Danio rerio: one gene and its partner. The main gene of each other region encodes a partner of the protein of the gene in region 2 in a complex. Links are inferred from orthologs where the notes say so. Each region holds a gene or a part of one and is shown on either strand. Other genes may lie near its edges.

The links.
Region 1: adrm1 (region 2) and psmc6 share a complex: the UniProt entries of both Homo sapiens proteins name them as parts of the 19S proteasome regulatory particle complex. The link is inferred for Danio rerio from reciprocal best matches to the Homo sapiens genes ADRM1 and PSMC6.

What each region holds. Positions count from the first base shown.
Region 1 is NC_133195.1:9,929,041-9,933,223, forward strand, and holds the start of psmc6 (26S proteasome regulatory subunit 10B), read left to right. Parts: upstream 1-1,383; 5' UTR 1,384-1,406; coding exon 1,407-1,491; intron 1,492-1,864; coding exon 1,865-1,944; intron 1,945-2,049; coding exon 2,050-2,089; intron 2,090-2,174; coding exon 2,175-2,227; intron 2,228-3,936; coding exon 3,937-4,004; intron 4,005-4,121; coding exon 4,122-4,183. UniProt on the Homo sapiens protein: Component of the 26S proteasome, a multiprotein complex involved in the ATP-dependent degradation of ubiquitinated proteins.
Region 2 is NC_133198.1:9,689,884-9,693,834, reverse strand, and holds the start of adrm1 (proteasomal ubiquitin receptor ADRM1), read right to left. Parts: upstream 2,801-3,951; 5' UTR 2,654-2,800; intron 2,214-2,653; 5' UTR 2,209-2,213; coding exon 1,999-2,208; intron 1,921-1,998; coding exon 1,804-1,920; intron 1-1,803. UniProt on the Homo sapiens protein: Component of the 26S proteasome, a multiprotein complex involved in the ATP-dependent degradation of ubiquitinated proteins.

The sequences.
Region 1 (4,183 bases), on a different chromosome or scaffold from region 2:
TATATTAAAACATTACATCCAGATACACAATAAATAGATTCTTATTTACATATCACTTTGCATGATAATGTCATTGCGTAATAACAACTCAAAACAAACAACTTTATATAGTATACAAAATAATTAATGTTTTCTCAAATTGACTGGCCATCTCAGCAAAAACATTATTTGAAATATGTCCATTTAGATGTTTATGAAAAATAAAGTAAACTACATTTGGAACAACAATATGGACTATTTGTAAAAGTAATACGTTCATTTTCTTTTCGGCTTAGTCCCTTTATTAATCTGGGGTTACCTCAGTGGAATGAACCGCCAGCTTATCCAGCATGTTTTTATGCAGCGTATGCCCTTTCAGCCACAACCCATCACTGGGAAACAACCATACACACTCATACACTATGGAAAATTTAGCCTGTACCCAATTCACCTGTACAACATGTCTTTGGACTGCAGGTGAAACCAGAGCACCTGGAGGACACCCACGTGAACACAGGGAGAACATGCAAACTCCACACAGAAACGCCAACTGACCCAGCCGACGCTCGAACCAGTGACCTTCTTGCTGTGAGGCGACAGCACTACCTACTGCGCCACTGTGTCACCAAAAGTAATACAATTATTATTTTTTGTATAACACTGATAGCGAACAGTTACATTCTTTTAAACAATCACAGCTTGTGTACTTACTCTTTTTAACTTGTGAAATTAACACATTTGTGAAAGTGACAACAATTATAGTACTATTGCATTTTATTGCCACCTAAATTACCAACATTCATACATGTTAACAAATATCTTTAAATTAACAGTTATGAAAAACAATCTGAGCTAGCAATTTACTCTACTGAGTGAAGCCTGCAGCCACTGCTCCTTTGAGTCACTGTTTAAAAAAATGCTAAAAGTAGACAAATGAATGTTAAAAATTGCTACATTTGTTGCTAGTTGCTTTTCGAAAAAAAAAAAAAGTTGCTAGGGTAGTATGAAGAGTTGCTAAATCTAGCTACACACTTGCTAAATTGGCAAAACTTTGTATAACCACAGAGCATAGAATCACCCAGAGGTGACATTCTAGTACAACTTGGTAAACAGCCACTAGATGGCGCGGCGGCCATTTTGGAATAAAAACTCCAATAGAACAACAGCAAATTATGTCTGTAAAATAAACTATTTAAAGTGCTGATGATTGTCATAGTAAGTGTTGTATTGTCGTTTTTCGGGTTGTATCTCACCTTAAATTAGCCTTTTAAATAAATCATTGAAAAACAAATCAGCTGCTTGCCGCCTCAAATTAACACTGTATCGCGCTGTTCGTCCAGCAGGGAGCGCTGACGCGCCTCGGTTTGGTTTGTGACGCGCTACTATTAAACATCACGAAGAAGCGCGAGAGCGAAGCGGCAGTGAACATGGCGGAAAACAGGGAGAAAGGTTTACAAGACTACAGAAAGAAATTACTGGAGCATAAAGAGATTGACGGGCGCCTCAAAGAGTGTAAGTTCGATGTTTTTCTGTTCACGTCAGACTGTCATTGAGCAGTTTGACATCTTCATAGGCTGTTGTTTGCGTTATCTCAGCAGCCTGTACTGTAAGTCGCTTTGTCATGCAGTGCTGAAATCAATTAGCCGCTAATGGTAACAGCTGAAATAATCCATAGATCCCCTTTAAATTCATAATTAGAGACACACAACATGATTATACGTATCTCCCGATCTGAAAACATCATATATTATAAAAAAAGAGCCTTCAATACAGCTGTTTTCCAGTATCATGCTATCTCACGATAACATTTAGCATCTCTGACACATGAAGCTGATGGAAGTTGAACTTAATGTTTGCACATGTAAATAAACGCTCTGTGTTGCAGTGAGAGAGCAGCTGAAGGAGCTCACTAAACAATATGAGAAGTCTGAGAATGACCTGAAGGCTTTACAGAGTGTGGGGCAGGTAAGATCTGCTCTGTAAATCATTGTTTTTCTTATTTCCACATTAGGGATTTGACTATATCAGTGCATTTATAACGTTATTTAAATTGTTGCATTGTCTTTGTAGATTGTCGGTGAAGTGCTGAAACAGCTGACTGAGGAGAAATGTAAGGCCAGATTCTCTTTATTGAGCTGTAGATAATTATAGTTTGTGTCTATCTGTTCATTGTTTAATGTATTCTTCTTTTGCAGTTATTGTTAAAGCAACTAATGGACCACGATATGTGGTTGGATGTCGCAGACAGGTGAGCATGTACATGCATACGCGCACACATACAGTTTCAGTAAAAAGTTTTGAAAAAAATTACTTTTTTGTTACACTCATATTAGGTTTTCACTAATGATGCTGAAAATTCCAGTCAAATTATAGAAAAATACCGTTTTAAATTGTATCCACAAAAAATTAACTGTTCAGCTATTATATGTTTGTTAATCTTTTACAATAGTAGTTTATTGTATTGATGGTCAGATAAATCCATTATTTATCCAGCGATAAAACCATATGCAGATTAGAATTTTCAATATTAAAAAAGTAATATCAATTCTAAACGTGTGTGTGTGTGTGTGTGTGTGTGTGTGTGTGTGTGTGTGTGTGTGTGAGTAAAAGTAATTTTAGAACGAAAGAAATAAAGTAATCTCAACAGAGAATTTATTAAACTAAACATTTAGGTCCAGTCAACAAAGAGACATGTTTATTTGTATGTGTAAAACCTTTGTATCATATTGCTGTTTCGTCAAGATTGATCTGGTTTATAAATATGATGACGCACAAAACAGGGGCGGAAATGTGCGCACGCCACTTCTCACGCAAAAATACTGATCTATATTAACTTATTTACCTTAAGTAAAAATATTAAGTAAAATACTGACCTAAATGAACCACTTTAAATCATCATTTGAGCCATAATAATTTAATAAATAATTAAAAATTTTGTTCTAAAAGTATTCTGGTGTGAATTCATTTTTAGAAAGGTTTCTATGCAAATTTAGACTAGTTTTTTAATTTAATTATTTTTTCTTTTAAAGTACCAAAGTGGATAAATGTCAAAAATAGTTTGTCTACCAATAATGCCTTTTATTATGTCTACCAATAATGCCTTTTATGTATGTATGTATATACATACATACATACATACATACATACATACATACAAGTATATAACTGTTGATTAATATTTTCATTGGCTAAACTTACAAATACAATTTTGTGTCTTAAATATAACACTACAATAACTTACTATGTTCTGAACTGTTGTATGTTTGAACTCATGATATTTTCAATAAAAGAAGCCTGTGTTTGTTATTGAACTTAATATTGAGAAAAAAGACAAATGCTTCTAAAATTAAAATGTGAAAGTATCAAAATAAACACAACAGTATTTTGTAGAGAGATGCTTGTAAAGCTAATTAAAACCTAGATGTTTTTTTTTTCAGTTTGATATTTAAGTATGTTTTATATAGCTCATAATTGAGGAGATTTGCTTTTTTAAGTTGGAGGTCTAAACTAAAAATACCATGCAGCTTGGTGCAGTCTTTTGATTTTTAAATGTCAAAAGTATGATGGAAAATCTTTGAGAATGTAAAAACTGTTAATCTAGATGAATGAGATCTTGTATAACTGCAAAGCAGATTAATTAGAGTTACATTAAATAAATATAAATGTTATCAGTCTACTTCTTCGATTAATATGTATTTAGTTTTAATAGTGGACAATCAGGGAGACATGAGTTGTTTTCAGTCCAGTAAGGACTGAAAGGATCATTAACAGCCTAAAAGTTATGCTCATGTTTGATAAAATACATTAGTTTAAAGTGGATTTGTTTTTGTAATTGGGTACAGTAAGCTGTATAAAGATGGTAATAATAATGATAATGATGACAATAATAATAAGTATAATGTGTGTGATTTTTAAAAACCTATGTCTCATTATGTGCTCATATTTTCTTGTTTTTAGCTGGATAAATCCAAGCTGAAGCCTGGCACTAGAGTGGCTCTGGACATGACAACTCTCACTATCATGAGGTAAGTCTCTCTGCTCTTTGGGCATAAACGATCATCATTTAATGTTCAGATCTTTTTATTTTTATTTATTTATTTATTTTACACAATAAACTTATTTCTAAACACTTCTTTTTAAAGGTATTTGCCTCGTGAGGTGGATCCTCTAGTGTACAACATGTCCCATGAAGACCCTGGTAGCG
Region 2 (3,951 bases):
TGCTATTTTATTAGGTACACCTGTCCAACTGCTCATTAAAGCCAATTTCTAATCAGCCAATCACATTGCAGCAACTCAATGCATTTAGGCATGTAGACAATGGCTGTGTCCGAAACTGCCTACTACTAAGTAGGTACTGCATTTAAATTTAAACGTACTGCTCGGCCGTTAGAAAAGTACGATCTATACAGTATTAATGTGAAAAGTATGAATGGAATTCGGACGTACGACATCCGCCATTCTGTCATGGTCACATGACCTACCTGCGTCGGTTGCGTCACTTCAGTCCCATTCATAAACTCTCTCGCGGGGCATAATGGGGCACTATATAGTATGGAAGTATGCAGTTTCGGATGCAGCCATGGTCAAGACGATCTGCTGCAGTTCAAACAGAGCATCAGAATTGGGAAGAAAGCTGATTTAAGTGAATTTGAACATGGCATGGTTGATGGTGCCAGACAGGACAATCTGAGTATTTCAGAAACTGCGGATCTTCTAGGATTTTCACGCATAACCATTTTCAGGGTTTACAGAGAATGGTCCGAAAAAGAGAAAATATCCAGTGAGGGTCTTACTGGTTTGTCGGTGCAAATGCCTTGTTGATACCAACGGTCAAAGGAGAATGGCCAGACTGGTTTGAGCTGATAGAAAGGCAACAGTAACTGAAATAACCTCTCGGTAAAACCGAGGTATGCAGAACTCTGAACATCTGTGAACACACAACACGTTCAACCTTGAGGCGGACGGGCTACAGCAGCAGAAATCCACACCGGGTGCCACTCCTGTTAGCTAAGAACAGGAAACTGAGGCAACAATTCACAAACTGGACAACAGATTGGAAAAATGTTGCCTGGTATGATGAGTTTTGATTTCTGCTGCAACATTCGGATGGTAGGGTCAGAATTTGGCAGCAACATAAAAGCATGAATCCATCCTGTCTTGTATCAACGGTCCAGGCTGGTGTTGTAATAGTGTGGGGGATATTTTTGTGACACACTTTGGGCCCATTAGAACCAATTGAGCATTGTGTCAATGCCACAGCCAACCCGAGTATTGCTGCTGACCATGTCCATCCCTTTATGACCACAGTGTACCCATCTTGTGATGGCTACTTCCAGCAGGATAACACTCCATGTCATAAAGCGTGAATCATTTTCAGATTGATTTCTTGAACATCACAATGAGTTCACTGTACTCAAACGGCCTCCACAGTCACCAGATCTCAGTCCAATAGAGCACCTTTGGCTTTGGCATGTGGTGGAATGGGAGAGTCGCATCATAGATGTGCAGCCGACAAATCTGCAGCAACTTCATTATGCTATCATGTCAATATGGACCAAAATCTCTGCCGATTATTTCCAGTACATTGTTGAATCTATGCCATGAAGAATTAAGGCAGTTCTGAAGGCAAAAGGGAGTCCAACCTGGTACTAGTAAGGTGTACATAATAAAGTGTCTGGTGAATGCATTTTTTGATTGTCTAGAAATTGCGTCTTTGATTTAAGGATTTTTATGTAATTAGATTAAAAACAAAGTAAAAACTAAGAAAGATTTTTTTTTTGCAGATATACACCTGTTATTGTGATACATTTTCATTATTTACAAGCAGAAACAGTCAGCAGTTACAAGTTTTCAGCTTTCTTCAAAATATCTTCTTTAGTATTCAACAGAACAAAGAAACTCACAAAGGTTTGGAAGCACTCGTAATTGCGTGAACCATCCTTTTAATTCCAGGTGGAAGCATGGCATTGTATTCAGCACATCTGAAACATGTTAACAAGCATCGCACAACATTTTACTCACCTGCATCCAAAAGAACAGCCGTTTAGAGCCAGCCTTGAACTTCAGTACATACACACGTCCTGTAGTGCACTGGTTCACCCGTTTAAACTCACAGTCATCCGGGAATATGATCAGATCCTAAAACACAAAAATCAAGACTTAGGTACTGATATATTCAGCATTATCAACCAACCATTCACTGTAAACAGGCCTCACATCCTCCACATTTCCAGAGGTCCTGTCCTTCCAGCAAAAATGAATGAGTGAATCATCTGTCTGCTGGATGTAGACGGTGCCCTTGCGCTTGTCTGGGGTCACAGTGCTGCCCTTCAGGGTCATTTTACCAGCCCTGAACTCAACCAGATACTTGCTGGATGAGCTGCGGGATCCAGAGACCAGACTGGGGAACAGAGCTCCAGATGACATCTTCACTAAAGGGCACAAAACACAAACTGTTACACGTTTACAACATGACAGCACATTTAGACAACGTCTGAAGCCATATACACACACATACTTTTGTTCAAAATCTTAGAGCTTATCTTTGGAAACAACACAGTCAGTCAGCAAGAATTATTAGCACTCTAGTTAGCTTCAGGAAACATCAATTGACCTGCTTTTTGCGAAAATATACGCATGTTAAATTAACATGTAATATAATAGTATATTTGACATTGTTTCATATTAAAGTTTAAAAACCTATCTAATTTTTTATTGTCTGGCTTGTGAAACGCTACACTAGTTAGCATTAGCAGCCGCTTCAATATCTCCAGCTCCACCATGACTGCGCGTTTTGTTTCTGGTGCGTCTTTGAACAGAACATGCCGCTATAATTCATATATTTACAAAGCGAGTTAAAAGTAATTCATACCGCTGGATGAGTTTAGCCTTTCGTTGATTTCAGCAGCAGGTTTTGTTTTTTGATCCTGAGGGTTCGTTCTCTGAAGATTTGCAGATAGACTTACTGGTGAAAAGTGGAAACTAAGCGACTTCCGGTCTCCTGCTCGCCATGTTCCACAAAGGGCAACATCTGATTGGCTGAGGAACATGTCATTCAGCAGCTGCTGTGTCATTGGGTGCAGATGAAGATCCTTATTTTCTCTCTACAGATCTTCACCATGTAAATCGTCATGAAAACACTTTATTTTGTGAGTGTGCCGCTTGTATTCTTTCTTAGCCAAAGACTTGAAGATCCCCACATAGCAGTAAAAAAAAGTTATAATATTTAAGAATGGCGACACGGTGGCTCAGTGGTTAGCACAGTCGCCTCACGGCAAGAAGGTCACTGGTTCGAGCCTCTGCTGGGTCAGTTGGCATTTCTGTGTGGAGTTTGCATGTTCTTCCCATGTTGGTGTGGGTTTCCTCCGGTTTCCCCCGCCCACAGTCCAAAGACATGCACTATAGGTGCATAATAAGCTAAATTGGCCGTAGTGTATGTGTGTAAATGCAAGAGTATATCAGTGTTTGACAGTAATGGGTTGCAGCTGGAAAGGTATCCGCTGCGTAAAACATGTACTGGATAAGTTGGTGGTTCATTCCGCTGTAGCGACTCCTGCTTAATAATGATACTAAGTCAAAGAAAAATGAATGAATAAGTGTATAAGATTAATATTATATTATATTCAATCATCTCACCCTGACACTTTAGTCTCAAATGACAAAAACTTCCCACAAAACAGTGAAATCTATTTAAATTAACAAGAGATTAATTTATAACATCATTAATATATAATATTAATACATTTATAGATAATTTTTCATGAATAATGTAATTTTTACCATTCAAAACTTTAAAGAATTGCATTTCAGAGTATGTATATATATATATATATATATATATATATATATATATATATATATATATATATATATATATATATATATATATATATATATATATATAGGAATCTGAGAGTGAAATTCAATACCCTTTAAGACTTTTCTATACTTTTAAGATCTTATAACTACTTTTTAACACTGGCGAGATTTTAACTTATTTATTAAATATTAAGGCAAGAAATTAATCCAAAACTAAAACATTATTCATATACTGAATACAAATCTATTAAATCTTCTAAATTCAGCAGGTTGGCTCCTACAGATCTGCAGAAATAATGGTCTTGCCTTGAATACTGCGGTAAACAAAGCAGCATGATGTCAAATTTAGCA